Drosophila melanogaster: one gene and its partners. Changing the gene in region 2 together with the main gene of any one other region gives a genetic interaction. Each region holds a gene or a part of one and is shown on either strand. Other genes may lie near its edges. The genes, in order: gbb, Med, Smurf and anchor.

Region 1 (7,247 bases), on a different chromosome or scaffold from region 2:
ACCTCCAGGCGTTGGTCAATGCCAGCGATGAGACGGTGAAGGTGGTTCTGGCCACGGATATTATCGAATCGCTCTGCCTGAAGGTGCCGTTCAAGTACCAAATAGACACCGCCTGCCGGCTGAACAATGTTTACGATACCACGAGCTGCAGCGGCGATGATCGCTTCGAATGGGTGGCCAAGGACGCTCTTCTGCGAAGGGAGCTAATCCTTCAGCCCAATAGTAAGTACATAGCTCGTCATACATTGTTAACACTAACTGATGCACTGCGTTTTCCGTAGAAGGGGATGTACAATGCTTCCGTCTGATAAGCAAGGAGGCCTACGAGGAGCTAAGCGAGACCAGTCAGCCAAGCCTGCAGACTATGCAACTGGACAAGATCTGCCTGGCGGTGAAACTACTCTCACCCAATACGATTATAAGCGAATATCTGGGTATTACCATCTCACCGCCACCGCTGATCAACGTGCACCATGCCGTGCAGTTCCTCAAGAAAATAGATGTGCTCGATGACGCCGAGGATGTGACCTGGCTGGGCTGCCGCCTGATGGACATCCCGGTCTCCTGTCAACTCGGCCGCATGCTGATCTTCGGCATCCTGCTGCGCTGCCTGGATCCAATACTCACGATTGTCAGCTCTCTGTCGACGGCGGACCCGTTGGGCATTCCGTTTACCGAGGACATCGACAACTTGTGGGACAGGTTCACCATCTACATCCAGAACAGCATCAAGAAAGAGCGGACCTACCTGTCCGACAATCAGTTTTCCGATCACTTCATCTTCGTGCGCTTGTACAAGGAGTGGCAAAACCGAATGCACAACAGGACGCCGCCGCTATACCTTAAGGATGAGTATGAATTCATGCTGAATGGCCTGATGGAGCAACTCACCTCCATTCGTTCCGAGATCGTGAGCTCCTTGCGGGCAGCCAATTTGATTCACAGCCGAGGTAAGCTGTCGATGAACAATCTCAACCAGATGTCCTGCAATTGGCACATGGTTAAGGCGGCCCTCACGGGCGGAATGTATCCCAACATCTATGCCGTGGACACTAGAAAGAGTTCGCTAAAGTCGGCCTTCTCCGGGAACGTTTCCATGCATCCGAACACCGTGCTCCGCGATTTCTTGGAGCCACTGAATATTTCGGCACAGAGCTTCCGCACACCGTGGATTGTGTGCAACAGGCAGAAGAGCCACATTGTTTACGCCACCCTGGTCGTTCCTCTGGCTGTTGCCATGTTCTCGGGTAAGCTCGAATGAATTTCATGTTATATCATTCTGGTTATCATTCATTTTGTATTAATTAGGACATCCACGGATTCGCCTCTCCCCGATCTGCGACAGTGAAATGAGTTTGACCGATCGCAACGTGAACGTCTTTATAGACGAATGGATCTGGATGGTTATGTCCAAGGCTACGGCGGAGATGGTGATGCGCACGCGGTATTACTTCTTTAAAATGTACCACGACTTGCTGAAGCACTGCAGCGAGCTGGACATGTGGCGCCGAGACTGCGAGCCAGTTTCCCAATACACCGTGCTGACTGATACGCTATCGAAGATCTTCGAGAGTGAGGATGGATTCGTGGGCTTCTTCAAGCCTCCGCCCATAACCTTTCTACCGACGCCCCAGCTGCCATCCTTGTACCTCCTGTCCGTTAACGCCCACTTCAGTTGGGCCCGGGAAGTGGAGGAGAACATGCTGTCGAAACCACACCATTTCAATTCGCACTTCATCGAGAGGCAGTTCTTCGTGCTCTACGCAGGCGGCGACTGCGAGGAGTTCCACAGCAGGAACACGCCAGCCTTTATTGAAAGTGTCCTCGGCAAGTTTGTCAGACCCATCGACACGCCCAACCGGCACATCTTTGTGATCCTGTATAGAAAGGATCCCGATATGATGCTCAGCATTAGTCGAGCCAAATTCGTCAATGGTGTATTTATGTTGCAGGAATACTTCCGAAACAACATTCCGGTGTTTGAAATCTTGTAAGTGCAATCCAAGTTGCGGAGAATACTCCAGTCTAATGTGCTCTCCTTTCAGAGATGCGTGTGTGTCGTTGAATGTGCAGACACCGGTGTTTGATGGCCGCCTGATGTCGGCGCTAATTGACAAGCGTGTCGGCAACTTGATTATGGAATTGTTTGCCTTCCGCCACCACTGGATTCACAAGCGATAAAGCCCGCTTCCTCGCGCATATTGCCTGCTTCCCTACTAATTGAGTCCTAAAATAATTAAGAATGATCCAAAGAAGCGTGCCGAAGTCCAAATAGGACTTGATTGTGCCTTTTATTGCTGTGAAATGACTGTTAATTTTAAATGAGAGCTAACCAGAATCAAAATACGTACTTTTAGTACCACATTGCGTCTATCATCGTTGTTTTGAAATATTTGAAATTTGTGCATCCCAATCATGAGTAGATGTGAGACAATAAAGAAGAAGTATCTTTTAATACTAGCCACAAATGAAACTCCTCAAGAGACGAACTTCAGTTAGGTACAGCGCTGTATATTTTTGTATAAAAATATTCGAGATTAGTACAGAGATGGACATCTACACAGAAATGCTTTATATATATAGTGCTATAGTGCTTAGCCTAAGTGGTAAATTGAATTCAATGGCACCCGCAGGATTTCACAATCATGTTTCTATACTTTTTCAGGTTCACATTCTCGTCGTTCAGGTGGTACAGAACGGGTAGTGCTCCCAGCCTGGTCGGAGCGCAGCAGGGCTTGGGCACCTTCTTCGGCTCCAGCAGGTGGACCAGGGTCTGGACGATCGCATGGTTCGTGGCGTTCATGTGCGCATTGAGCGGGAAATTGCACTCGCCGCTGCAGTAGAAGGCGCCATAGCCCTCTGGTGCGATGATCCAGTCATGCCAGCCCAGATCCTTGAAGTCTATGTACAGGGTCTGCATCTGGCAGCTGCGCGTGCTCTCCATCGGTTCCAGCAGCGGCACGTTGTTGGGCGACACCGACTTCTTGCGCTTGCGTGGATGGCTGGCGCTTCGCTTGCTCCTGTGGTGGCTGCTGTGGGCCGTCGCCTTGATCAGCTCCGGTCCGCGGAAGAAGCCGATCATGAAGGGCTGGAACTCGTCGTCCACCTTGCGGTGGATCAGTCCAATGTCGTCCAGCTTCACCTCGCGGTCGGGTCGGTTGACAGCGTGTGCTCCAATGTAGATGCCATGATTGTCCTTCGACTTGACCAGCCACTCGTGCAGGCCCTCGGTCACGTTGAGCTCCAACCAGCCCACGTAGTCCCCGGTGGTGTTCACCGAGGACAGCGGCTCCATGGTGTGCTGGCCCAGCGTGCCGGTGCCAATGGCGTATACCGTGATGGTGAACTCCCTGTTGGCGGTCAGCCACTTGCCCTCGTTGGCGTTCTGATAGATGCGCAGCTCGGCCATCACCAGGTAGTTGTCGTTGGGCACGTTGGAGACGTCGAACCACAGGCGACGGCCGTGCTCGTGACGCAGTTCGTCCACATTGTGGTGGCGCTTGTTCAGGAAGGTCATGATGATGTCGCTCTCGTCGATGGCCCGCTTGTCCAGGTCGGTGATGAAGTTCTTCTGCTGCTCGCCCTCATCCTCCTCGAGGTCGGCGCTCCTCCTGGACCGATGGCCGCGTTCGTAGTCGTCGTCCTCATCCTGATCGCTGAGACCCTCCTCCGCCGTGATGCGGTGGTAGACGTCCAGCAGGAACTTGGGAGCCGACTTCCTCAGCGACAACTGGTGGCTGCTCAGGTGCGTCGGCCGTTCGGCGATGCCCAGGAACTCGAGGATCTCGTACGAGACGTCCAGCTTGTCGTCCTCGCTCAGCACTCTGTGCATGATCGTCTGGTCCTTGCCGTTGTCTATGTAAATCCCCGACTGGGTGGCCTCAACGGCCGGCGGCGTGGTCGCCACGAACATGAGCAGAACCATTCCGAGTCCCAGGGAGGCGAGCACTGCAACGGCCTCCGAGGTGTTTCGCAGTCCCGACATTATTTCGTGTTTTGGACGGATCGGTTGCGATCGCTGTTTTTCTATATCTACGGCGCTATCCACTTGCGATAGCTTCAGATGTACAGTGGCATTTAGTTGTTTATTTCGAGAGTTCCAGCGAACCGCGGGTTCTGAAAATTCTGACGCACTTACGGATTGTTGTGTGTATCTTAATCTTCAAGATGCATTTTCTTTCTATTTCGCGGGAGTTGGCAGTCCCGCGACTTGGAAAATGAATCGGTCTTGAAGATCGAACTAGAAGATCCAACATAGTAGTTCATTTCAGCTGCGATCGTGAGCAAATATGTGGTTTAATAGCTTCAAAAAAAAAAAGAAGAAACTGTGTAAATGTAGAAAATATAACGTTTATATTGGCAAAGTTCGTAATATTTTGATATTTTAAACTATTTATGGAAGTGGTATTGACGAAAGATTTGTAATTATGAATTTGTTAAATTTATCATAGTCCGGGCATAATTTGAAATATAATATAGGTAATGCTATTAAAAAATATTAATTAATATATATACATAGTTCATATTCAAAAGGAAACAGATCGATTTAAACATTCGGTATGCGATATACATAGGATACATTTTTATCGAAGATAAAATCGACCATCAATCGATATCCGATAGGTGGCCATGTTTTGCCCTTGCATCGCATCCCTCGCATCATCATCCGCATTCTGCATTCCTCATTCCGTTTCGGCGTCGCGGCGAGATAACGCGCGTTGTTTATTTGGTTTTAGTTTTAAGTTAGCGCGTTTTTACCCACCGCCGGTGTCGCCCAAATAATGCTAGACACAGCCTAGTGCAACGGTAAGCGGGATGCGTGCGGTGCAATTGGAGTACATGGAGTCTAACATCCGCTCAAATCCACTGCAGGCAAACCATCATCAATCACTCAAACCGCCACACAAGCAGAGACCGAAACGGAGCCATGGGCCGCAGCCGAAGTCCCGCCTCGCCGGCGCACAGGAGACGCGAGAAGGAGCGATCCGAGCGGAAGAAGCGCAGGGAGCGCCGTTCCCGGGAGCGGGAGGCCATCGGAGTAGCGCCAGCCGGAGGATCCGGATCTGGAGGCGCCGGTCGCCGCGACCGGGAACGGGATCGCGACCGCAGTCGCAGCCGAGATCGGGAGCGGGAACGGGAGCGCGACCGTGCGCGGAGTCGGCGATCTAGGTGAATAAGAAAGTGTAGTGTACCAAATGCCAACCACGATAAGTATAAAACTAGTCACTAAAATCGGGGATGTGGGTCACAGTTCAGGGGCGTGCTGGATAACCGTGAAATGGGGTTTAAATAGCAACCAATATTTATAAGTTTAGGATAAGCTTAGGGAGTGTTTGTGTAGATTTAGGAACACATTCCAACACAGGGGACAATTGACCCCTCAAACCCCCGAAATCGCCGTTCAGAACTTGTTTATTTACCCACGAGTATCGATAGACCCACACTTCGATAGGCAGCCAATCGATGGCTATGCAGCTCTGGCGTCCCAACATCAAAAAAAAATTACCACGTGAAGCGAAATTGTGCGAATTTCATCACGACATTTAAATTGATTTCCGGACATATAAACAGAATCCAGAACTCATCCGGCAGCAGGCTCAGTCAGGCCAGTAAATCCGAAAAGAGAGTAACCAGCAGGAAAAGAGGATCCACGTAAATACAGAGAAAATGGCTCTACGCGTCCAATTCGAGAACAACGACGACATCGGCGTCTTCACTAAACTAACCAACACATACTGCCTGGTGGCCATCGGTGGATCCGAGACCTTCTACAGCGCCTTCGAGGCGGAGCTGGGCGACACCATCCCGGTGGTGCATGCGAATGTGGGCGGCTGCCGGATCATCGGCCGCCTCACCGTGGGCAACCGCAACGGCCTGCTGGTGCCCAACTCCACCACCGACGAGGAGCTGCAACACCTGCGTAACAGCCTGCCAGACGCCGTGAAGATTTATCGTGTGGAGGAGCGCCTGTCCGCGCTGGGCAACGTTATCGCCTGCAATGATTATGTGGCCCTGGTGCACCCGGATCTGGACAAGGAGACCGAGGAGATCATCGCGGACGTGCTCAAAGTAGAGGTCTTCCGCCAGACCATTGCCGACAACTCACTGGTGGGCTCTTACGCCGTGCTGAGCAACCAGGGCGGCATGGTGCATCCCAAGACGAGCATTCAGGACCAGGACGAACTGTCGTCCCTGCTGCAGGTTCCCCTCGTGGCCGGAACAGTGAACCGGGGCAGCGAAGTACTCGCCGCCGGCATGGTCGTCAACGACTGGCTCTCCTTCGTGGGCATGAACACCACGGCCACAGAGATCTCCGTGATCGAGAGCGTCTTCAAGCTTAACCAGGCACAGCCCGCCACAGTGACGACCAAGCTGCGTGCGGCCCTCATCGAGGACATGTCCTAAGCGAAACTTTCCCCACTTTCTACTTGATATAAGGATTATCTGTTATCTTCTACATTTCATTTAAGAAATACAAAACACGAAACTAAAACAAAGTCTGGGAGCTGCAAGCATCAATTAGCTATTTTCCAATGGAAGTTTTTGAGATATAAGCTAGAGGAATAGAGGAATATTGTCTGTTAGGTATATAAATGGATTCAGAATGGATTTTAGAGGGATCTTGAGCTTGATTTTAAATCTTAGAATGAAATTCTCTAGCATATGCATATACAAGCCGGTTATTTTGGGTCTTCAGATGATTGCCAAAATCGAGACGTAAATATGGTCTTTAATGAAGCCAACCGACCGGTTGAGAAGTGTCGCATTTCGCGTAATTAAAACTTCATATTGCACAATCGGGTGCACAACGCCCAAGGTCGCCCCAGTTATTTCCCAGGCTCGTTGCAATTCGAATGCAATCAACTGGTCGGTCCTGTCACTCAAACGAAATCTATAGAACACTCACCACTCACTATGCACACACATTCATAATTTGCAGATCGCGGTCGAGGGTCGCCGGAGGAGGAGGAGGAGGAGGCGGCGGCGGAAGCAGCGGCGGCAACAGCAGCTCCGGACCATCGACGTCGCGAAGGACGACGAGGAACAATGCGGCGGCCACAGCTGCCGACCGGCCCAAGATCAACGAGGCGGACCTGGAGGGTAAATCGCCGGAAGAGGTCGAGATGCTGAAGACAATGGGATTCTGCACGTTCGACACCACCAAGAACAGGAAGGTCGAGGGCAACGATGTCGGAGAAGTGCATGTAATCCTCAAGCGAAAGTACCGCCAGTACATGAATCGCAAG
Region 2 (9,519 bases):
TTCACGTCCAGTTCCACAGGATTGTCCAGTGCCGCCTGGGCGCTTGAAGTGTGGGCGTGACCTTTTGAGCGATAGTGGGAGGTCAGGTGGGAGCGGCGAACGAAGGAGACTTGGCAGGAGTCGCAGCTGAAAAACAGATAAACAGAGTCAAGGATCCTCAATAAAACTTCAGGTAACTAAGATCTTACTGGAACGCTCGCACTCCGGTGTGACTCAGCATGTGCGTGCGGAGTTTTCCGCTCATGGCAAAGCTTTTATTGCATTCCTTGCACGTGAAGGGCTTGACATTCGTGTGGCGCCTGATGAAATGGAAAGTGGTCAGAAATATGTGAAAAGCATTAGACGTTTCATGAATGGGAACGAGTTCTGTCGTACATGCGTTCGTGCTGGATGCGTCCGCTGGCGTTGCTGTAGGTTGCCTCGCAGTAGCGACACTGAAACAAAGCATTCCCCGCATGCAGTTCTTGGTGGCGCCGCAGAAGCGTAGCAGTGTAGAACTGCTGGGAGCACTGGTCACAGGCAAAGCTCTTTACGCCGGTGTGTCGGAGGAGGTGCAACTTGAAGTTGCTGGGGCAGGTGAAGTGCCGGCCACACTGCTCGCATATGCAATCCCGCTTGCGTCGCTCCCGCTTTAGGGCCACCACTTCGTCCTCGGTGAGTCTGCTCCACTGGGTGCGCGTGGCCTGGCTATTGTCCGCAAACTTAACGGAGGTAAAGACTGTGGGCGTGGTCTTTGTACTTCTGCGGAGCTTCTTCTCCTGCGCAGGAACCTTCACTTGGGGCTGCTCGTTCTGCTCACATATTTCGTACGGCTCTTCCGTCTCTTCCAGCAGGTGTTCCTCGGGTAGAAGGTCTATAACCTCGATCTCGGTGACCTCTTCAGCGTACTGAATCTCCTTCTCCACACCAACTGCGAAGGATTCGATCAATTCCGCGTTCCCCAGGTTGGGACTTTCCTGCAGCGTTTTTTGGGTTCGAATCACACGTTCCCGGAAAGCAATCGCCGTCTGCAGGTCCAATTCGCAGGGTGAGCAAATAAAGGGGGGCAGCTCGTTCCCGGGTCCGCCGAGCAACTACGGATAATCCAGACTTAAGTTTGAAAACACAAAAATAGAAAGGTACTCACAAACAAACCAGTAAGAACCTCGATCTGGTGCAGCATTACGGAATTGGGCTCCTCGAAGAGGTTACTGGGCGTCGAACAGAAAATGAACAGGCCGCAAGTCCGGCAATTACGATTCGGCATTTTTAAACTTATTTATTTAGTAACACTTAAGAAAAAATTAATCAGAAAATTGCTCTGCTTTTCATATTGTTGCTCCTTTGGCAATGCCAGACTGTTATAGCTAAGAAGATGTGGCACCGCTGCCACAACATCGTAAGGGGGATTCCTGAACAGATCTTAATTTTTAATTCGATTGATTATTTGATATTACTTTATTTGATTACTCGCTTTTCTCCATTCGATTTAAGAGTTCATTTCAAAAATATTACCTTATTTGCAGTGCTTACGCAAAGAGAATTCCTTACAGTGTAGATTCAGGTGGCCACTATATAGCTTGAGCAGCTGATTGATGTAAACAAGCTTACAATAACAAATATTTCCAGATTGTAGAATATTCCTAAGTTTTTCCAAATTTAAGGATGCATCTAAACGAGAACACCAAAATACTGGGTCACAGGGTCATCCTTGTGCCCTACGAAGCGCGCCACGTGCCCAAGTACCACGAGTGGATGAGCAACGAGACCCTGAGGGAGTTGACCGCATCCGAGGAACTGACCTTAGAAGAGGAGCACGAGATGCAAAGGAGTTGGAGGGAGGACAGCGACAAGCTGACCTTCATTGTCCTGGATGCAGAGACTTATTCGCGTGATCAGGATGAGATTGCCGCCATGGTGGGCGACACCAATCTCTTCCTGCACCAAGATCCCGATAGCCAGATACCAACGGCGGAGGCGGAAATCATGATTGCCGAACCTTATGCACGGGGCAAGGGATTCGGCAGGGAAGCCATGCTCCTCATGCTCAAGTACGCCCAATCGCAGCCCCAGCTTAAATTGGATAAATTCGAGGTCAAGATCGACATGGACAACGCTGCATCGCTGCATTTGTTTAAGAGTTTTATGTTCGTGGAGACGCGTCGAGTGGAGATCTTCCACGAGGTCACCCTGGAGCGACCTATCACTCCAGATTGGATCAACTGGCTGGACCAGCAGGTGGATCTGCGTATGCAGTGCTATCAGTGAAAAGAAGCCTTTAGAATCGTAATTTCACGGTCTGTTTATTACACTTATGTTACATCTACTTGTTTCGCTTGCCTTATTTATGCTGCATTTTACATCAAATGAATGTATTTATGGGTGCATCGATGTCTCTTTTTGTTTCGCCCTGTGGCTTGGATGATTGTAATGCTGTGTATGCTTCTCGTTTTTTTTTTTTTTAATTTGTAATTTTCGTGGCAGGAAATGGACAACAAACATTGGCCGCTTGTTCAGTATCTCCGGTGTTGTGTGGGCGTATATTTAAGTATAGTACATAAAACTAGATGCTTAGTGCTTTACAGCTGCATACTTAAGACTTCTAAGTTGTTTCAATTTTTTATAAAAATTATTATCAAATAATCAAAGGCAAACATAATCGTAATCAGAATTGCAAATGAAAAACACAAAATCCGCAAATAGCTGACGGATAGCTGCCGCTAAAACTGAGTCCTTAGCATAGATGTGGGCCAATAATAAATACGGATTAGGCGGCGGCACGCGGGCCATCGATCGGCATGGCGTGCAGCACTTCGTCCAGCAGCTGCAGGGCGCGATGCAGGTGCACCTCGATCCAGCAGGGCGTTTCTTTGATGGACTGGCGTGGGTAGTCAGGTCCCCAGCCCTTGACGAAGCTCAGGCGCAGGATGCATAACCGGCGCAGATCGTCCACGCCAATTCCAGCCGCTGCTGTCATGCCTGGAATACCGCATCAACACATTAGTTTTCCCTAAATCAAACTGATTCCATCTACTTACTCCTTCCGCCGCCGCCCATTTGCTGATTGGCCACTCCGGCCACGGCTGCCGCCTGAGCAGCGGCCGCTGCCTGCGCATTGGTCGCCAGCGAGTGCATCTGCTGGTGGCACTGGCGCAGGTCAAACACCTGCATGAGAAAATGTATGTTAAGCTATCACATTAAACTCTCTTGATTGCACCAACCTTTATGCACGCGGCCGGATAAATCTTGTGCACAGCATCGCCAGGTGTGCGTCCTGCCTCGCGATCCAGATAATAGCTTTGTACGAAAACTGAATTGTCACTAAGACAGCGCAGCCAGACGTCGCCCTCCCCACGCAGATCCAATTGCACGCCCTTGCCGATGTGGAGCCTGCATGGAACTTGGTAATTAATCCCTGCTCTGCAAGTTACTCCCAGGGGGATGTACTCACCTGGCCCGTTCCGATTGTTCAGTGCGATGAACATTGCTCAAGGCGCCCAGACAGAATCGATTGCCTCCAGAGGGATCCACATAGCCGTCGATGATTACGTTCGGTTTCGCTGACGGCACCTTGAAGGTCTCGCCCACTTGCGTGTCCAACTCGAAGTATGCGATGGAGCACCAGTATTCCGGCGGCGGTTGGCGAGACAGGAGGCGTGGTTGCTGCTGTTGTTGTTGCTGCTGCGGAGGCGTCTGTTGCGGGGAGCCGAGGTCACCCGAAAGCGACGAATTCCCTGGAAAATGAAGGACAGGGATTACAAAGTCGCACAGTGGGCTACATAGCCTAGACTTACAGAAGCCCCCGGGTAGAGAGCGCGGATCTGGTGGTTGCATAGACTGCGTGTAGGTGAGGGTGTTGGGCCCTGTCCAGGTGCCAGCCGCACCGCCTCCGGCGCCAGCCTGAGCCCCAGCAGACCCAGTATTGGCCTGCACACCGGTCGGTGGCTGCTGCGGCTGCTGTGGTGTGGGTTGGGCTGTGCCAAAGACGCCACCACCTCCAACGGGAGCACTGCCCGCGGATCCTGGCTGCGACACGTAGCCGTTTTGCTGGGCGTGGACGGACGGGGCCACCGAGGTGCCACCCCCACCGGCACCTTGCATCTGACTAACAGGAGGTGGCTGTCCATAGTACTGCCCTCCAGCTGCTGCTCCACCGCCGGCATTAACTGATCCATTGGGCACACCGCCTGATTGCTGCTGTTGCTGCTGCTGCTGTTGTTGTTGCTGCTGCTGCTGCTGCTGCTGTTGTTGCATGGCCAGTGCGGAGGCGGGATCTGTGGGCGAATTGGCCTGGGTATGGTGCACCCCATTGCCCTGGGGATTCTGAGCCTGCTGCGGCGGGGGTGGGGGTGCCATCACGGGACCGGGATTCATTGGACCAGGCATGCCCGGCATACCGTGAGGCACAGCTGAAAGTTGATTTTGGGAAAAGATTAATGTGTATTCAACTAATTGTTAATAAGACAAATATTATAATAGTTTAAAATCCAACATATGAGAAAAATTGTAATTAAAATTCGATTTTCGAAGCTTCAACTATAATCAAGGCCATATCCTTACGGAGTGAGTGAGCAGCTGCCTGCGATTGTGCCTGCTGCTGCTGTGTAGGTTGCGGGGTTTGCTGCTGCGGCTGCTGCTGTTGTTGCTGCGGGGGCTGACCCAGCCGGGGGGGAGGCGGTACCATCCAAGAGCCACGCGACCCAGCAACTCCATCCTGGGGCTCGATTTTTGGTATTGTGCGCCCGGTGGGAAACATTGCACTCATGGGATTGGCATCGCCAACTACGCAAAGTCAACATAAAATCGCCAAAAGGAAACAAATATAAATAAATTATTAAAACCAAAGAAATAAACGAATGTAAACAATTAAGTAAAATGAACAATTCAGTTTAAAATTATAAATAATATAGAAAAATTATCAAGAAATCCAGTATCGAAAACTCAAACTATATCGAATTAATGTCAATACTGTAGTCTTACCATATTCAGAGGGACCCTGTGGATATCCGTAGCCGCCGGGCCCCACCATTTGCGTGGGATGGTGCTGTATGGTGCCGATGTCGTTGCCATCGATGTCCATGCTGCCCACCAGCGGACCCGCTGAGTATTCGTCCTTCACCAGGCGACTGGGGCCCGACTGCAGACTCAGGCCGGACAGATCGATGCCCGGAGAGACGACGCGCTCGTAGTGGTAGGGATTCACGCACACCGAGTCGCACTTGAGATCGAAGGCGAAGGCGCAGTACTTGACGTGCTTCAGCTCGTTCTTGTGCAGGTCAGGCCAGCGCCAAATCCGGGCGTATATGACGTGCGGAAAACCCTTGCGTCCAGCAACCTTCGATAGAGAATGGTAAAGTGGTAAGTTCATTGCTTATACACATTATCAAATTCGATGCAGAAAGTCTGAGAGACTCAACCTACCTGCAAGCGACCATCGAGGGTGCGCTGTATGGTCACGCACTTGCTGGGATGGGCTCCGTTCGTGGTGATGGCCGTGATCAAGGAGTCCAGTTCGTCGCGCTTCTCCTTGAGCTTTTTGACCAGCGACTCGATGGCTCGCTTGGCAAATCCCTCGCTTTCGCCGCCCTGCCGATGGCACATCAGCGAGTGGACGATGCTCAGACAGGCGTCCGCCGATGTGGGGGCGTTCGAGGGCGGCGGCGGCATTTGCACCATGTCCCGGACAATTACTGCAGATGGTGGGGGTAATTAGCTCTGAGTTTTTTTAGTAGATCAACGGATACTGTACAGCTCAATCCAATTTCATTTTAAATTTCAAAGAGTTTCAAGTTTATCAACAGTAAATAATAATGCTACGGTAAGATTTAGGATTGTCCACAATACTTGGCCACAAATCGATTTTAGAATAACAACTCGAAAAGGAGTTCACTATGACTGCTGCTCCTCTAGAGAACTTCACTTACTGTCCTGCGGGGCTACGGCGCCGTACATGTGGGCGGGCGGACACGCCCCCGAGCCGCCGCCCATGCCAAAGTCCTGGGCGAGCGAGCCCAGAGTGCGAGCATGGGCATCCACGGCGGCGTTGTTGCTGGATCCGGATCCGGAATGGGGATCGTGAGCGGCGGAGAGCGGAGTGGGGATCGTACGGTGGCTGGAGCAGGCGTAATCGAAGCCGGCGGCGGGCAAAAACAAGGCGTAGAATCACTGGCCAAAGAAAAGCCAAACAAAGGCGGCACGCGAATGTGAGCACAAAACAAACGGCGGCTGGATGGCTTTGTGTGAGTGGGCTTGGGGGGTGTTGCACACACGCATACACACACACACGCGCGCGCTGAACTAACTCGACTTGAACTCCCACAAAGTTGGCGTAATTTCCCTGCGAAAACTCTCCTCTCCTTCGTCTTCTCCACCTCCTTCTTTACGCACACTGGCACACGCACTGCACACACACACGCCCAGCGAGAAGTTTCCTGCTCAAATCCTTGGTAGAGACTGGCTTTTACTGTTTTTCGTGGAATTTCATAGTTTGCACTTAATTGGCTGCTTGGGAAACTCGAAAGTACAATTTTCCGCCCGACGAAATCCAGTTTTCCAGCCAATTTGCCTTTTTTTCCTTTTTTATTTTGTTGCGGCTGTGCAGAGTGACCGTTTCGCGATACAACATGGGCGGGCGTTGCCAGATGGGCAAAGCGCGAAATACCTACCTTGGATTTTTACAAACACCTAGTTTGGTCAGTTCTCGAAGATTTGATTTGAGAATAAGTTTATATTTTTTGGAAATAAGAAGCAAGAAAAGCAGATACTGATCAAAACGCAGAGGCATCCGGGTAAGTGCCATGAGATTTGTTACACCGACTTACACTCATTTCGCGGGCTGTTCAGTGCGTAAAACGAACTTTTTGAAAGGCCGAAAATCAATCGCCACGCGTTTTTTCCCATTCGCATGTGTGTGTGTGTGTGACGAAATTGAGGAAAGTTTCTTATCGTTGAGATTGGGGAAAATCGAAGGCTGAACATCTTGTGCAACAAGTTAATTGATGTTTTCGCATTCCCATTGAAAAGTTTCTTTCCATTGCTTTAATTGCTAAAATTCATTCATAAAAAATTGCCGTTGATGAGTCGTTTGTGTGACAGGTTGTTTCTAGAAATATGCATGTGTGTGTAGTGGGGCCTGAAATAGACCACCCCCTTCCCCTCTTCTCTTGAAAATGTTCACTTGGCAACAGTAACGAATTTCCTTTTCGCCGGAAATGCATTTCTCCGGCTTTTGTAAAACAGTTTGCTGCGTAGTTTCCATCTTCAAAATATCTTATCAAAATGCGTAATTTCAACGCTTATCTGAACGGAATTTCGATTTGCGGCGTACATATGTAAATATGTTTATATTTTGGCAATGACATTGATTGTGAAATTATGTGTGGGAAGTTTGCGATTCCCTGCCAAAACAGAAGCTTCCATTTGTAATAGTAATTTGGGAACTCAATTTAACTTCGAGGATTTGTTGCCCTCATATTTTTTAATTCCCTAACTAATTAAATCACTTGTCATAAAATTGTCTACATCCCGCATTCAGAAGCATAAAGTTATTATTTAATCCCTATCAGGCTTACGGTGTTGAAAATTGTTCGACACCAAAAAGAATTATTGCGGGCTTATTTGAGTTCGGTGTTCAAAATTGTTCGACATCAAAAAAGAATTATTGCGGGCTTATTAGGGTTCGATAACATTACAGCGAAATGTTAGTTAACAGAGAGAATCGAATAACATACACATCGATAGTGAGGGACTATCGCTTCCGCTGGCTTAGGGTATTTTATAGTACAAATTTCAGTTCGCACCAAATCTGTGGAACTTGTAGGCCTACTGGTAACACTGGTCGCTCACAATATTCTTCATTCGTAAAAAAACAACAAAGCGGAGAAGTACCGTTTTTGCGAGCGCGAGTGTTTGAATGTGTTTGTTTGCTTAGGAATAGAAAATAGAAATTGAAAAGGACCAAGTGCAAACGTACAAAGCTTTGCTAAAGCAGAACTAAAAAAAATCAGCAGGAGGAAAATGCACAGCTGATGGAGAAAAGTCCCAAGCACCTTCAGCCCAGTGTGTGTGGGAAAAATCGATCCGCAGACGGGAAAAATTGAGGATAAAATGCCAGCCTAATAAACAGAGTTCCAATTGTGATACAAACGCAGTACAAATTAGTTAACAACTAGCTTAAATGGCCAACGACAAGGTTTTATAGCTAACTATCTGACGCAATTGAATAAGCGTAAAGCTGCCAGCCAATTTATTCACTTATTTTCGAGTGCAATAGAAGCAAAAATTCACAACTAAACAAAGTTCATCTCAACATTCCTGCGCAACACAAAACAACAAAATGGCTGTAAAAACGTAAGAAAATGCTAAATTTATTTAAGAGTGGAAAAGTCGATAAAATGCAAAAAGAGAATCAAGGTTTTTTTCTTCATCTATCAGATGATTTTGTTTGTAGGAAAAAAGAAATTATATTAGGCATACATACAAAATTCGTTCATTTACGTGTTTGTTTCGCTTCCATTTGTTTCACAGCTGTTTGTCTGGTGTTTGTGTGTGTAAGCGAGAGAGTGGATTTGGGGTCCGCTATTCGTAGGTCGTTGCTTACAGAGTGAGCGAGAGGGTCGAACGAGGGGTGGGCGAGGAACTATGCTGCTTGCAGTGGTATGTGTGTTTGAGGGGCTGTGCTTTTTATGCAAGCTGTACAACATACATATGTAATGAGACTAATGTACGCCTTTGTTTCCTTGGCACCGCCTTATTCGCCTAGAAAACCCATTCCTATTGCCTTCCCCCATTTGCATATCTGTTTTATTTCCAATTTGCGTCAATTGTTTTACTTCATATTCCCCTTTTCCTTTGTTGTTCTCCCCACAATTTGTGTGTTCCGCTTCCAAAGTTCCCTTGCCATCGTACACACACGCGAGCTGCAAACAAAGACTTTGTATGTGTGTATGTTGTTCCCATTCGGATTTTTACCTCATACACACACTCACACCAGCACAGCAACTTGATTGGTTTGGGAGTGTGCGTGCTCTGGCTTGGAATTGCGTCAGCCAAAAATAAAATATGTGCGACGGATAAAACTACTTGTTTTCGTTTCAAAAACACTTTTGCTCATTTTAGGAAGCAACTTGTTTCTGGAAAACACAAGTAACAACTGCTATTACATTCCGTTTTGTACCCCGTTTCTCCTGATTTCACCTTCAGCGCATTTACTTTGTTTTCTGGGTCATATTTGTTGATTTCAATTTGTTGCGCAGTCGCAAAGTCGCGCAGAATTGCTTAATTTGTTGATTTTCATATTTTCCATAGCCTCCAAAATAATATAAATACAACGCATAAAACGACCCCACGCACGCATACTAATGAAACAGTTGGGTTGGTGTGGGTGTGTGGGTGTTGCTGTACCGTTGTTTTATTTATTCCTCTCCACACTTGTTTACATGTAAAAAGGTCTCTTCTATTCTCTGCCTACCTTCTTTGTGGAATGAATAGAGATGGGAACGGGTGTGAAAAGGGGAGAATTCATCATTAACCCTTAGGTGG
Region 3 (7,827 bases), on a different chromosome or scaffold from region 2:
CGTGCTCCTTGGTAATGCAGGGAGTGGAGGAGCCACCCGGAATGATGGCCAGTAGATTGTCCCAGCCCCCGATCACTCCGCCAGCATGGCGTTCGATAAGCTCTCTGGTTGGCATGGACATCTCCTCCTCGACGGTACAAGGGTTGCAAACATGACCAGAGATATTAAACAGCTTGGTGCCAGAGTTTCGGGTACGTCCAAAGCTGGCAAACCAATTGCCACCACGCCGGCAAATAGTGGGAGACACGGCCACCGTTTCCACATTGGTCACCGTAGACGGACAGCCAAAGACGCCGATATCAGCCGGAAAGGGAGGCTTGTTCCTTGGCTTACCCGCCTTGCCCTCCAGGGATTCAATCAGAGAGGTTTCCTCACCGCAAATATAGGCTCCTGCTCCACGTTGCACATAAAGATCGAAATCGAACCCAGAACCGCAGGCATTCTTTCCCAGGTAGCCAGCCTTATAGGCCTCAATAATGGCATACTGAAGATTGCAAGCTTCGTTGTAAAACTCTCCGCGAATGTAAATAAAACCAGTGTTGGCACCCATAGCCCGTCCAGCAATGAGACATCCCTCTACCAGTTTGTGTGGATCATGGCGCATTATCTCACGATCCTTGCAAGTACCGGGCTCTCCTTCATCCGCATTGACCACCAGAAACTTGGGTCTTCCATCAGGCGGTTTATGCATAAATGACCACTTAAGTCCACTGGGAAATCCGGCGCCACCGCGTCCTCGCAGTCCAGATGTCTTAATCTCGTTGACTATCCACTTGTCACCCTTGGCTATGATCTCCTTCGTCTTGTACCAGTCACCGCGCTTCATTGCTGCCTTCAATCGCCAATCGTGCCGTCCGTATAAATTGGTAAAGATTCGATCAGCATCAGCAAGTGGTCCAAAAGTAGTTTTCGTCTGCGGTGGTGGAGTTCCGGGCGGTGGCCCCTTTGGGGGTGGTGGAGCGCCGCTTTTGGCAGGCGGAGAACCGCCCGTCGGCGGTGCAGAAACATTTTTAGGTGGAGGAGAGCCTGCCGGGGTGGCCGGCCCAGATCCTTTCGGTGGAGTTGATTCCTTGGCATCCACAGTCACAATAGTTCTTCCTTGTAGAGCAGCATAATTCCAGCCTATAAAATTATCCCTCAGCTCGTCAACTTTCTCATCTAGTCGAGATTTCTTTCTTTTAGCCATATCTTTAAGCCTTTTTAACAAATTGGCCTCGAGTTCTCTTTGGTCGGCTGGATCTAAAACCTTCTTGGCATTTTCATTAATAGGAAATTTCGTTGTGGGCGGAAGTTTCTCAGCTGGAAATTTTGGGCAATCTACTTCGGATTTTTTTATGCTTTCCCTTTTTTTGGCTCTTTGCTCAGAGGACAGCAAATCGTCGTTACAATCGGTTTGAGATCCTTCTCTCATAATCAGCACAGGTTTGGCTGGCCGCAATAAGAGTGGAATAACGCTTTCAGCGTCACTTAGTTGGTTCTTCTTCACATTTTGTATGCTAGAAGTTCGGTATATGTTTACCAGCTTGATATTTCCAGTTTTATTACCAGGTCGTAAGGCATTTTGAAGGCTTTTTACTTCTGTTAAGGCTCTATATGCACGAGTTAGTCCTAATGAAATCTTGTAAGCATCACAAGCTCGGCGTTTTAACAGAAACGATATCATGCTTTCGTCTATATTCTTTATCTGATTAACTGAACTCTTTGGCAAGTGTGTTGAATCAAAGGAAAATTCAAAGCATACTACTTCCACATTTTTCGAACTTGATATGTTAAAAAAGTTTACATTACTCACAATAACGAATATCGGAAAGTCCCATTATGGATTTTCCCTATAATGACCGTAAGCCCCGCTGGGTTCAACTAAAATCTTATCACAAAGAATCGATAAAATATGAAGAACCAACTACTAGTGTACAATGTATATGGTAGTAGAGGGAAAATAGCAAATGAATGCGCCATATTCTGTAGTCAACCACGGAATTCAAGCATTAGCATTAATAAACAATTCATTTGAAGTGACACCAGCGGCCACAGACCCATTTTCGGAAACCCAAATATCCCCCTATTGGAATCTCACGGATAAGGAACATCGAATGTTTTTTTTTTTTTTTTAGTAGCACATTGAACAATGCGTGGCGCGTGATTTAAGTGCAACCAAGTGTACAAAAATGGACAAGAAGTGGAAAAAGCGAATAGTAAATCACAAATACACAGAAAGAAAAAATATTGCGATTGTATTTGTGGACGAGCGAGTGAGTGAGCCGCAATGAAAGCAAATTAGTAATAATCACTTTTGTTATATCTAACAAAATATGGGAAAAGAGCTCAGATATGGCGCACCACTCGCACTCACCCACTCGACTTGATGGGCGCGATGGGGGGAGGGGGCTTTTCCGCAATTTGTATAAAAATGAAAGTAGACAAGAAAGGAAGTGCTAAATTTAGCGATACCTTATATGCATAGATGAATGTGAAGAAGAGGAAACAGCAGCACCACAAGCGCCGCAAATAAAACAAAACTTTAATTTACCACAATGTGTGTTTCGATTGGACGGCTAAACAGGTGCGTAATTGATGGTTTTCGAAAAGAAAACCAAACGTGAAAACAAAGCTTGCTGGGTCTGGCGAATGCCAACTGCTCCAAATTTCCCGTAACTAACCAAAAGTGAGTCAAGAAATTAGCCCAAACATGTGAGCAAATTACGAAAATAAGTGATTACGCCAAAGGCATGCTGGGTAAATAGTTTTAAGGAATTTTTTGCTGTTACATTTAATATTTTATAACACTAACGATTAAGAAGTACAGGGTAAAACTTTTATGCTTTTGATGACCGGAAGTTCTGCTTTAGGAACTAATTTAGACCGTCCTATTTGACGGATAGGTGATAGGCACTAAGGAAATTAGATGCTAAGATATATCCAATTAATATTAAAATACTTACGAAATAAATCCTTGCGGGCCAAGTTTCTAGCACACAATACTGCAAGTAAAGCGATATATTAGTGGGTTTTATTAACAATTGTTTTTATCAGCAGACTTACTCGTTATTCGAACTTTGTGTGTACCATTGCGACGTGGGTAATCCAATTTATTCATAATTTTCGACTTTTAATTGATATTGTTTGATTTGTATAAAAATAAATGGATTTACTTTGTGTATTGATTATTTATATGTCGCGGGCATGTTGTTGTAGTTGTTGTTGTCGTTAAAGCGCCGAACGGAGAGCGAAGAAGAAGAAGTGCAAGTAGAAGGTGGAGGAGAGGAAGCAAAGGAGGTGTAGGAGGAGCAGGTGAGGGCGGTGAGAGGTAATTTCATTGCCGAAGGTAACTGCAGTTGTTATTGTTGCTGCTGCTGCTGTGGCGGTAGCCTTGACGGTTGCAATTGTTGTAGTTTTTGCGTTTGTTGCTGTGTGTCATGGCACACGCACATAGATATATTTGTATATAAATAATAACACCGATTTGCTTTTTTTATAGGCTGCAATCCAAAGATAACAAATGGAAATGGGTATTATTAGTAAGTTCGTTAGAGATAATGTGTGTATTTTCCCCCCAAGTGCAAAAACCCAACCCAAAAGCGAGGGCGTAGGTAGGAAATCGTTCAGGTAGGCAAAATATTCACGAAAAACTCACCCGAAATTGTTTTGCTGGTGTTGTTGTTGTTGCTGCTGCACCTCACACGCACATGTCTCGCTCACTCTCTCACGCACACACACACGGACGCAGTTCACGCATGCTGCAGGGGAGAGCGGGAGCGGGGTTCGATCTGTCTCTCTCCCTCTGCCACTCTATTATTTCACAAATTGCATTAAATGAAATACCACTGTGTGTTTAATTAACTTTAATTTAGTCGCTGCTCCAGTATGGGTGCCACACTATTTACTCGCACTAGTATTTCCTTCGCTATCGATGTGTGCGCGAGTGTGTGTGGTACTAAAATTTGCAATAATAATCAAAGGAGGCACACTTGTATTGTTCTAGTTCACTAAAAATCGGACGAAAACTCTGCGAACAACGCACGCCCACACAGTTGCTCGTCCACGGAACGCTTGATAGTGCGCGAATTATGCTGCCGCGGCCTCACGCGCTATTGTTTTACGGATTCCCATAAAAATTTAACTACAACTTCGAACGCCATTTTTATTAGTGGTGGCACAAAGTCTAGTGCTGAGTGAAAAATCGATTACTCTCTTATACTATCGATTTTTTAGTGCTAATATTCTTGGAAAACATCGCATATTGTCAAATATATATATATAATACGTATGTAGTCAGATACTAAATTTAAAACAGCATGAAAACTTGTTCAGTGATGGTAAACAGTGATCTCGTTACCATCTACAAGCTTTGATTTACAATATAATTGTATGTTTTTGTTATATTGTTACTATCGAATTAAACTACTATTGGCTATCGGTTGTAAATCGATGAGTTTAGCTGCTACTCAAACCATCCTTCTTAAGCGCAAACAAACAAACACATTTTGGCGGAGTTTTTGTTTACCTTTTATTTTGCGCAAAAAGTAACAATGTCAATTACTCTAGATTTTAATGGTAAGAACTTTGCCAAGGGTAAGAATTTAGACGTGCACTACTTGCCGGCCAAAATAGACGGCGATGGGGAAGCGAATGTAAAAAATTACTTCAACAACTACACACGTGAAGCAACCGAATTCGGCACAGGAATCCTGACGAACGCCTTGCGCGGATTTCCTTTAATGGGAGAGAAGTTGAAAGTGCCCGAAGGATACTGCGGATTAGTTCTGCAAGAAACAGAGAAGCCCATCAGCGATACCTCCGACCGAAAGTTGCGGCTAACTGGAGTATTTCAAGATTTTACTTACTGGAACTACGACAAAGTGCCGTCCAATGGCGATCCCTACCGACAGGCCCTTCCTCTGCCGGATGTTGCTCAAGCTGTATGTATATACCACTATATATTCTCGAAGTACACCTAATAAATACCACATTTTATTTATTTAGCTCTCGCAGCCCATTAGCGAAGAGGATTTAGAGAAAGAAATCGCTCGTAATAAGGAAAACGTCAAGGAAAGCACGTAGTTTTGTTTTAATCGCGCTTACCGCGTTCTATTTATTACTCCAAAATCTAATCCAATACATATATATCGTACATTTTATCTGGTATAAAACGTGGTATTGATGTTTAAATAGGTTATGCTTCACTCATCAGCGTCCTCGAATCGCTCTTCGTCGTCGTCCAAACTGAGATTCTGCACGCCGTTGCGCCCAAGCGTCAATGCATCATCCTCCTCCATAGCCTCATCCTCTAAGCCACCGGCATCCTGCATAGGATCGCTGTCTTCCGAATCACTGTTTGCCGAATCAGGATGTAGGGCCTGGCAAGTCGTCATGGCACTGTACATAGTGTCTACGGTGTGAATGTCCTCCGGCATAAGCCAGCACTCTGTGACCTCTCCAAATTGCTCGTCTACGGCATCCTCGAAATTGTCGTCCTCATCGTGCTCATCGCTGCCATTTCCCTCGTCCACTTCCGCTTCCGAACCACCGCCATTCCGACCATTGACTGCCTGCTGGGGAGGATCTCCGTAGACGCCGTTCCACTCGACTTTGTGGTCCAGCATGAAGTAGATGCACTTTCTCGGATTCGAAGAGATACCGTGCAGGCTAACCTGCTTCCACTCAATGGATATACCCTCCGCCAATTCAGTTGGCTGCCAGGATAGCGTGCTAGGAACAAGAAATAACAGTTACTTTAAAAGATTTTAATAAATAGAGAGCAATACCAGACACCGGCAAAGCTCTAAAGCGCTCACTTTTGGGCAATGTAAACTGTGCCTTCGCCCACCACTTTGTCGCCTAGTTTCAGCTTGATATTGTTTGCCGTATACAACAGACCATGTTCCGGCGGGGAAACACGCATAATAAGAACCATTTTAATACAGCTTGTTAAATTAATTGTAAAAAGCGCGATCAAACAACAAAACTTGCAAAAATGCAGTGTTGAGTACCATTTTTTCGTCCCCCTTTTGAAAGTCTGGCAAGGGTGGCAATAACTAGGAGAGACAGCTGGACTCTGGCAACGCTCTGATGTATTTTCCTTCTTTGAATGTAGAATCATCAGAACAGGTGTTCTCGGAGGACAACTTCTTTCTTACCACTGTTGAATTTAGAAATAGATATATAAAGAATGGAACAATTTTGTCAAAAAAAGATAAAAACGTAGTACGTAATTGTGCTACCAGATCAGCGCGTACGATTTTCTCCCAAAGAGGTCTTAATTTGGCGCTCTAGCCGCGGTCACACTGGTTAGGTAGCGTCTCGTTCAATTTTCAATTTTAGCTGTTAAAATTTGCGATAAATGTGATAAATGCGAAGTTATATGCTCGCGCATCAAACCTTCGACAATAATACACTCCTCAAAACGAACCCATTACGGACAGAAGTGAAAGAAGTAGCCTTCGGGTTAACGAAACGAACTTGTCATTGTCCTTCCAAGTTGTTGTTATTTTCCTTATCCGTTGGCAGTCGTTATTATTGTTGTTGTTGTCGTTGTTCGTGGATATATACAGTGTTTACTCGATAGTCCCGACGGATAAACCACACAGATTGCATGGAAGCAACGATGGATACGGACCATGCGAACCTAAATGACTTCAGGGATCGCGATCTGGCCACGCGCATGCGCCGCTGCAATTACGAAAAATACAAATCCTTGGTGCGCATGCACCTATCGTTTGAATTGGAGCTCAATACGGATGAGTAAGATGGATCACCTTGGTATATGGCTGCTCACCACATTACTAACGATTCCCTTATATATGTAGATTCGATCTCCCCTGTCACGAGATTGTCTACGAGGACAAGGGCAAGCTGAAGAAGTGGAACCGCCTGTCTAAAAAACATCGTTTGGGACATGGAGCAGCTGCCACATCCTGTGCCGCCGGCTCCGCCAGTAAATCCGTGGGTAATAGTCCCACAGAGACACTGCAACAGCAGATTGATCCGGGATTCTTAATGCATCTGCAAGAGCTCAAGGAGTTCCTAATGCTGGAGAAGAGTAAGTTCGCTGAAGATCTCAAATTACGTTCATTAACTGATCCACTGTTTCAGATCTCACCCAGGAAGGCCTATTCCGCAAGGCTGGTGCGGTGTCCCGACAAAACGAACTTCGGATGCACATCCAGCACGACAAACCACTGAATTTGGAACTTGCGGGCTTCTCCGCTCACGATTGCGCGACCGTTTTCAAAGGTTTTCTATCCGAACTTCCAGAACCGCTGCTTACGGATGCCCACTATCCGGCGCATCTGCAGATAGCCCCACTCTGCCAGGCGCTCAATGGTCAGACGACTGCCACTGCTGAGCGTCAACAACATCTTCTCAACTCCGTGCAGCTGCTACTTCTCCTCCTGCCCGAAGAACATCGTGAACTTCTTCAGCACATCATTGAGATGCTGCATGCTGTGGCCAAGCATGAGAAAAGCAACAAGATGAGCGCCGATAACTTGGCCACTCTCTTCACACCGCACCTAATTTGCCCAAGGCAACTGCCACCCGAGGTCCTGCACTACCAGGCCAAGAAAATGTCCAGCATCGTGACCTATATGATCGTCCGTGGACTGGACATCTTCGAGGTGCCTGGAAAGCTGTCTACCGACATCCGGGCGTACTTTCTCGAGCGCAAAAGAAAGAAAACCATGTCGCCGGAACAAACGCTTGACGAGTCCATCTCGGACGTCTCGACGGTCAACACGGTGTACACTTTTGTAGACCGAGCCGCCACTGCAGCGGCCACCAATACGAACAATACGGACACGGAGCTGGCGCAACTTTATGCCCATATCC
Region 4 (8,012 bases), on a different chromosome or scaffold from region 2:
ACATCTGTTCCGCGGGACAAGTTTCTGGACACAATGGTGGATTGCGGGTCTGCAAAGAATAAGAACTTGTGGTATATTTGCAGAGAGAGGGATTTAGATAAACACCAACCACATCCTCCTTGTTCTTGATTATCTTGGAGATCTCCATGAGGACCAGACCAACTGGATTTAGAATAGCCAGTGAGATAGGAGCCATCAGGTACAGATACGAGGCATATTCCGGATGGACATCCTTATAAAGAGCCATAACTGAAGGAAAAATAGAATGTTAGGTGAAATTGAATTTATATAAAGTTGCATATATTTCTAGATGCAATATCCAGGTTCTTGTAACATGAACTCACCTATGGGATAGCCGATAGCGAAGTCATTGCTCTGGGTGCAGAATATTGCCATCAGGCCGCCGCGAGCGTAGTTCAGGGGCCTGGCGACCAGCAGCGAGATGATCAGCACGGCGAAGAAGACCACCGCCTTGGAGACGAGCATGGCCAGAAGGAAGCTCCAGTTGACAGCGCTCCAGTTGAGCTCGACCAGGGACAGGAAGATCAGCGAGGGCAGGGCGAAGGTGCCCACAAACGTGCCCAGACCCTTGGTTTCCGCATTGCTGATGATCTTGAAGCGTCCGGCAATGTAACTGCAACAAGGAGCGAGTAAAAGGGGAACACATTACACCACTAATCATGTTGTAAAGGCGTGTCGGGCCACGCCCCCCTCACCAAAAGGCGTATATTTTTAATGCTAATAACCCAGCCAGCCGGAAAGGCGGAAACTCTTAATCAATATGTACAGTGTACTCTACATGCATATAAAATACATTCACCGCAGCCCCACACGTGATCCACTCGTAAACCAGTTTTATTTCGGACTGTCTCTTGGCTAACAAAGATTTGTAAACGTTTTTTATTTTCGAGCGAAAATCTGTATTTCTGTCACATTCGACGAGACAAATTAATTTGTCTGTTAATCTGGAGTAGGGAGTACTTCCCCCTGCCTTAAACGAACTAGTTTAGCGACCTTTTCTTATGACTCAACGCGATTTATTGCATTCACTGCATGTTGTGGGAATAACCTGGGGAAGCTCTTATCTCCTTAAGATTTGCGAGACTGCTATTGTTAATATTGGCAGAACTCAGCTTCTGCGTTTGCGAAGCGCCATGTGTCATAGGTTTCTGTGAGAATGCTTTTTCCTAGGAATGCGAAACCCTTGTAGACATTATCTATGTTTTATTTAGCGTGGAAGAGGTTACAAGACATGACTGATAAAGAAGTGTGCCTATGCGAGAGCCACAAGGGCGGAAGATGAAATTACAGTCTCTTTATTAAGCAAATATAGAGAAATTCTTCATGCCCTTTTCTTAAGAAATTCCTTTTATATTTATAAGATGGAAATCAGGAAAATACTTGATAAAAATAGTAATGAATGAAAGCCTTATATATGGGTCTCCACTTTAACATTCCCTTGGGTCTGAAATACAAGTTTTAACAATTGTTGTCTGTGAGTAAGGTCTGTCCACAGAATTTGTACATAAACAAAAAGCTAGACTAAACAGAAAACGTCAAAAACTTTTTCCTTATTTATCTCGCTCATTTATCTGTTGAGCAAAACAAGTGTTCTAGAAACTCAGTCGAGAGAAACGAAATCCAAATTAGTCAACCGGGTAAAACTCATTAATGTACATACATATATACCTCTAAAAAAGAAGTAAAGCTTAATTGGCAAACTGTGAGGATCGGCACGCAAATATTCATCTTACGTGCCCAAACAAAGTGCAAGTTCATTATATTATTAATACTGCGAACCGACCTGTTGGGCAACTCTCGCCCAGAATCCGATGAAGAAACACCTGCGAATGTCTATGCTATTATCAAACTATTGCTACAGTTAAAACCATAACGAGTCGAGGTGTTTATAGCCCCTGTATTATTGGTAGCGCTTATCAGGTTATTTCCAGCCTAAATCATAAAGAAAAATGATCACAGCGAGTCAATCAAATTCTCACAGCGAAAACACACACAACAAAGATTCATCAAATAAATGATTAAATATAATTTCAATGCGATAACAATCGTAAACAAACTTTAATTGCATTACGAGCAGCACTTAAAACTGGAAGCGATGTGCATCTCTTCGCTACCCTTTCATAACAGCGTGTCAAAAGGGTGATAAATATTTGCATTTGGGGAGACATTTGATTGACATAGGGATATGATTTACGTTTGCTAATACTTGGAATTTGTACTTCAAAGAAAATAGTGAGGTATTAAAAGCTAATAAGTTGAAGAGAAATATTTACCATACGAAATTGAGTTATTACAAAAATCAAAAATCAAATCAGTTATAGATAAGTCTAAGAGCTAAAGCAATCTATTTTTCTCAATTACATTTACATTTTAAAGGCCGAATAATGATAAGGACTAAAGGCAGGGTATTACCTCAGTTGGCTTTGCAAGTGCAGAACGAAATTCTAAAGTCAGATGCCAACGAACGCGAAGGGAGAGCAGTTAAATAACATATAATCGCATCCGACTTTGTAGTCGAGTTTGTATAGGCGATATCAGTAGCTGTTTGCTTGAACAGTTGGATGAGGTGCATCTGCCTGGCGGTGGATCTTTGGGTGGGCATGCATATCGCCAGTAATTGGCAGTGGTCGGTAGACAAATCGGTAATTGCGGTTGCATAATCCGTACAAAAAAGGTGCAAATATTGCCTCAGGTGGAGTGGCTCGATACTGTTTACGCTGTATTGCAAGGTCATTGCTGTAATTGTTTATACCGATTTTGTACGTTTTTTCTCGCACTCTCTAAACGTTTTACTTTCGATTATTGCCCACTGGCAATTAAGTTTCGGCTTAGATGCATGTATAATGATTGATATGGGAGCTAGCAGCGCAAATTTACAATTTACATATGCCGCTCCCCATTGTTATTGAGCAATTTTTTGTATGTCAAAGTTAATAGGTGCTTCACGGCAATTTCCCAGGAAAAGTGCCACGACCGGCGGGAATTAGTTCAGATTTATGAAACCGCCTCTAATTATAACTGCTAAATCGGTGGTTAAACATTGGGAAAAATTCCAGCATACGCCAGCAGAGATATTCCCTATTAAATAGCCGGAACATAATGTTTCAAAGGTTTGGATTTTCACGTGAATGATCAAACAATATCAGTTAACGACCGACTTGCAATGACTAATCGGAAATTTTGTAATTCAAATAACCTTTGCAAACGCCAACAAATTTAGCATAACATTCTTTCGCAATGCATCAGCAATTAAAAGAACTGCAGCATAAATTAAAGAAATAGAGACAAAATCTAATCAACAAATAGGCATTGGCCATTAGGCAACTCTTTTTATAATAGATCGAAATTAATTTTATGGGGAATATTAGGCTAGTTGCTGCTGCGGAAAAGCCTAATTAAACCCGAATAAATCTCTTTTGGGTAATTCCGTTTCTAAAAATAACAAAAGTTAATTTAGCTGATTTCGGATAATTGCTGAGTTTGTTTGAAGAAACAAACGATTGAATCGGAGTACGCACAGACAGTGAGACAGCAGTTTGCCACAGATAATAAAATTCGAGTGTCAATTGATAAGTGGGTGAAAACAAATCAGAGAAATTGAAACTGAATCGAGACGGTGTCCGTCATAAGTGCTGGTCACTGTACAAGTGACCGCACGTTCCCCATAATCGTTGCGATAAGGGGTGAAATACATACGTTCGAGTTAGGATCCTACGTGGGATGTGGCAAGCTATATTGTAACTTCAATTACTCAAACTATCTATCTTTTAAGAATATCTAAGCAAACTGAAACGTTTTATTGGTAGTTTTTTACATTTAAAGAGTGGTATTTCAAGATTATTTAAGATTCCTAAGAATGTTTGTTTCTTTCCTTAAAACTATCTATTTTTGATATTTTAGCAAAGAATGATTACTTTGCTTCAGTGGTAGCTATAATTTCCCTTTGAGAATAATTTAAATTGGTTTATTATTGGTTTATGACTACTGTGCTGTCCCCTAGTGAGCTTGCTAATAAAAAGTGTACACAATGTTCTGCCCAATAAAGTAAATAAAACCGAATTAGGGCTGTTTAGCTGTACCTAAATCAAACAAAGGCTTGCAAATGAGCTTTAGGGGTGCGAGCAACCTGGTGTTTTTGTGTTTGGGGTGGAATATACGGGTAATCTTATCGGGAAGGATGCGTGGGACCACTATCTAGGTGCGAAGTTCCCCAATATATCTACTAACCCGCAAATGATGATGCCGAAACACTGAACCAACGCCGGGTAAAAGTTGTTCATGGATACGCCCCCGTCGTCGGCGCGTGGCGTCGCCGTTCCATTGGCCAAAGATGAGGCCATGGTCGAGGTGATGACTCTGACATTAGCCTCTGTGCTGGCAGCAATCCGCTGGCTGGCGTAGTACATGGAGCTGTCCATTGGGGACTACTGTGGAGTGGCTGCTAAGCGTGGGAGTTCACTGTTAGTGGGCGACTCTGCGCGTCATAGCGGAAAAAGTGGGGTGCTCCGGTGGGCCAAGCAGCTGATGGGCCGTGACGTCAAAGGGCCAGCTGCGGATTTATTGGATTTTCGCCGACCTTTACTTTATGTTGCTGGCAAATATGTTGCTCTATTATTTAATCGCTTATCTACGCAGTTTTGTTTGCCAATTTGATGGTTGTTGTTGTGTATTATTAGCACTCTATTTTCCTTCAATAGTCGAAAATGGTCGAAAATCGCAATGCCCGGCAGGCTGATTTCACTTTCATCTGTTCGAACGACGCATTGCTGATTTTTGAGTCCGCAGCACTTGCTTTTGGCAATTAAACGAATTTATTAATTTGCGCAAATTAACGTAGTTAAGAGCTCAAAAGCGCCCGCCGATGCGTTTTGTTTTTAATTTGCAATGCGAATGGTGGGACCGCAGCGCGGTCGTTAAGTAATACCAGCGGGGCAACCAAAATGTACTAAAATACACCATTTATATGTTATGAAAATACCAAACAAAAATACTAAGGCAGTGCTACAAAGAGACCGTTAAAATATCTGTTATTTACACAGTTTTTCCTAAAATTGAACGACATATAAGCTAAATATCGAACCAGTTAAACAAACCAGTTCGAATGAGTTATCTTTCCAAATTACAATAAAAACAGTTTCATTTAAGAACAATAAGTCGTTGGTTGACAGACCTGCCAAACAGTGCTGCCCACCAACACTGTACGGTCCAAACAGCTGATTGGTATAGGAAAAAGAAGAAGACAATTAGTCATCAAACAAAATTTGTAGAACGAATTAAAGTGGAAAACCCACAAATTTCCCATAAATTTTGCGTGTTGTAGTTAAAATAATAAAGCAGTCAATATGAATCGCCTTTTTGGTCGTGGTAAGCCCAAGGAGCCGGGTCCAAGTCTAAACGATTGCATCGCCGGGGTAAGTGTCGAAATCATGGAGAAAACAAAGCAAATAACAATTTATTACACTCAACAGGTCGATGCCCGAGCAACAAACATCGAAGAGAAGATCAGTAATCTGGAGGCAGAGCTGCGCAAATACCGCGAACAAATGTCCAAGATGCGAGAAGGTCCTGCCAAGAACTCCGTGAAACAGAAGGCCCTCCGGGTTCTCAAACAAAAGAAGGCGTACGTTCAATGCCCCACCCACTGCCTAGTATCGATTATATTCCAAACCTCCAGTGTTACTCTTCTCCAGACATTTGAAATTATCATTTCCTAATCTATAAGTTCCATTACCTTATGAAATTTACATCCACAATCAATTTTTTTATTGTGTCCTGTTCTAAATGAGTATTTTAAACCATTTTGAACTTTATTTGTTTCCTACACAGCTACGAACAGCAGGCAGAATCTCTGCGCAACCAGTCGTTCAACATGGAACAGGCCAACTATGCGGCGCAATCCTTGAAGGATACTCAGGCCACCGTGGCGGCCATGAAGGATGGAGTCAAGCAGATGAAGACCGAGTACAAGAAGATCAACATCGACCAGATCGAGGTAAGCATAGTTAGCTGGAAAGAGATGGAAATGTCCCAGAAATATGAACATAAATTAATTTTTATCCTTTTGCCTAAAGGACATCCAAGACGACATGGCTGATATGTTTGAGCAGGCGGACGAGGTGCAGGAGGCACTGGGCCGCACGTACGGCATGCCTGAGGTGGATGACGACGACCTGCAGGCCGAGTTGGATGCTCTGGGCGATGAGATTGCCTTGGACGATGACACCAGCTATTTGGATGACGTGGTCAAGGCTCCGGAGGCGCCGAGTCGAGAGCCGGGAGCTGACAGCATCGTCCCTGGAAAGGTATAATGCTGCTTATATGGATAGCAGCTTGATTGCTTACTAACGAGCTAATTTCTTACAGAGCACCATTGAAACGGATGAGTTCGGCTTGCCCAAGATTCCGACATCGCTGAAGACCACATAGGCAAGCTGCCAAGCTGCCAGCTCTCATGTTTCCATTCTTTATCCTTTGTTGAACCTTGGGCACGCTTTGTATATTTTATGTGTAATGGAGCCATCAAAGATTCCCTCTCAAGTCTCACTTTTGTAACCATTTGTTTTTTCAATAAATAGCCGTTTAGTTATCACGCCACACTAATGACGCATTATATTGGTTAATTTATGAAAGTTAATATATATAGTGAAAAAACATTAATATATTTCAACTTCAAACTTTCACTTAATTCAGGGAAAGAAATTATTATTATTTATTATTTATTAGGTTTGTGCTTAAAAATTTTAACAATGAAACATTCGTTCTTTAGTTTTTATCCAGCGGTTAAATCAATTAATATAGTTTAAATTGTAAATTAAATAGTTTGACCCTTTTTTGATCGGATGTACAGCTGTACGTATACGTGATAAACACTTAAGTCAAAAACTCATTTCAAACAAAATTTGGTGAGCTTGCAGAACAGGTAAGAAGAAGCTTGCCATTGAATTACGATATTTTCAATTTAAGTAAGTTTTTGAGTATAAAAGTGAGTATAATGTACTGCTTACTTTTTTGAGAAAGCAGAATACTTGCTGAATGAGTTTCCGCCGCATTGTAATTGAAATGGATTTAGCGTTAATCGAACGCAAAGCAATGTTAATATATTTTTTGGCCTTGAAATTAAATAAGGTGTTGTTGGAAATAAAGTACGCAAAAACAAAAACTATTTCCCACAATTTCGACGTACAGAGGATGCACTGTAGCTCCCTACTCTCTTTGGCTCTCCCTGCAATTGCAATTGCATTCCGCTCTCTTAGCCTCGCTTGCGCTCTCTACGCTAACGAGCTTTGAAGTTCAGAGCGTGAACTTGAGCGTTTCTCTGCCGTTGTCGTCGCGAGGTGGAGGTGCGCTGGTGTGCGTGAGCGGGTCTCAGTGCAGCGCAGTGCCTGTGTGCAAAAATACGCTTGTTCGCCGTTTAGTTGTCTTTTGACTGCTGTAACGGACAGTCGCAAATTTTGCCCCAACTCTGATTCGAGCGATTCGAATGCGAAGAGGAAAACCTTCGCTTTTCAAACACGCATAACAAAAACCAAACAACAAAACAAATTAGCAGCAACAAAAATCAATTGTTCAAACGTAACTGTAACTGCAGCGTTCGCGCCAACCGACAGAACGCCCGCTCGCCCGCCCGCCCACTTTTCCCGCCCACCGTCGTCGTCGCCGCCGTCGCGTCGCTAATTAAACGCTTTGCTACCGATCAAAAGTGCAATCCCAAAATATCAAACAAATAAAATGCGTTACAAAGAGTTCTGAAGCAGCAAAAATCGCGCGAAGAAATCTCGCTGTTCAAGTGGCCTTAGCGTGATGATTAAAATGTCAATTAATTAATCCAAATATCTGGTGGCATCTGACAGCCTTTGGTCGGCTTTTCCCGCCCTCCCCTGACCACGCCCCCGCCCCCATAAAGAAAAGTGCCTGAAAGTTTATACATATTTACACAAGAATTTTAGAAATTAAGTGATAAATCGCAAAGTAACTGATAGAAACTTCGAGGC

Evidence for each region.
Region 1: of Med (region 2) and gbb, changing one suppresses a phenotype caused by changing the other (phenotypic suppression), as found in Drosophila melanogaster (one study listed by BioGRID).
Region 3: of Med (region 2) and Smurf, changing one suppresses a phenotype caused by changing the other (phenotypic suppression), as found in Drosophila melanogaster (one study listed by BioGRID).
Region 4: of Med (region 2) and anchor, changing one suppresses a phenotype caused by changing the other (phenotypic suppression), as found in Drosophila melanogaster (one study listed by BioGRID).

What each region holds. Positions count from the first base shown.
Region 1 is NT_033778.4:23,848,493-23,855,739, reverse strand, and holds gbb (glass bottom boat), read right to left. Parts: upstream 4,179-7,247; 5' UTR 3,986-4,178; coding exon 2,618-3,985; 3' UTR 2,493-2,617; downstream 1-2,492. Other genes in the region: bgcn (benign gonial cell neoplasm), read left to right, coding at 1-222, 282-1,247, 1,309-1,990, 2,046-2,181; eIF6 (eukaryotic translation initiation factor 6), read left to right, coding at 5,668-6,405; ytr (yantar), read left to right, coding at 4,928-5,169, 6,941-7,247. UniProt on the Drosophila melanogaster protein: Required for the growth of imaginal tissues and for patterning of the adult wing.
Region 2 is NT_033777.3:31,608,129-31,617,647, reverse strand, and holds Med (medea), read right to left. Parts: upstream 6,603-9,519; 5' UTR 5,968-6,602; coding exon 5,904-5,967; intron 5,670-5,903; coding exon 5,401-5,669; intron 5,338-5,400; exon of another isoform or gene 5,315-5,337; coding exon 4,960-5,314; intron 4,762-4,959; coding exon 4,540-4,761; intron 4,389-4,539; coding exon 3,774-4,388; intron 3,714-3,773; coding exon 3,431-3,713; intron 3,370-3,430; coding exon 3,201-3,369; intron 3,145-3,200; coding exon 3,018-3,144; intron 2,959-3,017; coding exon 2,747-2,958; 3' UTR 2,273-2,746; downstream 1-2,272. Other genes in the region: CG1792 (uncharacterized protein), read right to left, coding at 1-126, 189-299, 376-1,073, 1,127-1,246; Mnat9 (microtubule-associated Nat9), read left to right, coding at 1,645-2,247.
Region 3 is NT_033778.4:17,589,120-17,596,946, reverse strand, and holds the start of Smurf (SMAD specific E3 ubiquitin protein ligase), read right to left. Parts: upstream 4,157-7,827; 5' UTR 3,635-4,156; intron 3,480-3,634; 5' UTR 3,098-3,479; coding exon 3,043-3,097; intron 2,982-3,042; coding exon 2,943-2,981; intron 1,681-2,942; exon of another isoform or gene 1,664-1,680; coding exon of another isoform or gene 1-1,663. Other genes in the region: ND-51L1 (NADH dehydrogenase (ubiquinone) 51 kDa subunit-like 1), read right to left, coding at 1-1,663; CG30105 (uncharacterized protein), read left to right, coding at 4,530-4,919, 4,984-5,061; icln, read right to left, coding at 5,181-5,709, 5,796-5,914; RhoGAP54D (Rho GTPase activating protein at 54D), read left to right, coding at 6,593-6,741, 6,807-7,039, 7,093-7,827. UniProt on the Drosophila melanogaster protein: E3 ubiquitin-protein ligase which accepts ubiquitin from an E2 ubiquitin-conjugating enzyme in the form of a thioester and then directly transfers the ubiquitin to targeted substrates.
Region 4 is NT_037436.4:17,618,730-17,626,741, reverse strand, and holds the start of anchor (anchor), read right to left. Parts: upstream 4,919-8,012; 5' UTR 4,440-4,918; coding exon 4,249-4,439; intron 635-4,248; coding exon 345-634; intron 250-344; coding exon 110-249; intron 50-109; coding exon 1-49. Other genes in the region: Vps60 (vacuolar protein sorting 60), read left to right, coding at 5,364-5,432, 5,490-5,641, 5,848-6,013, 6,093-6,323, 6,385-6,447.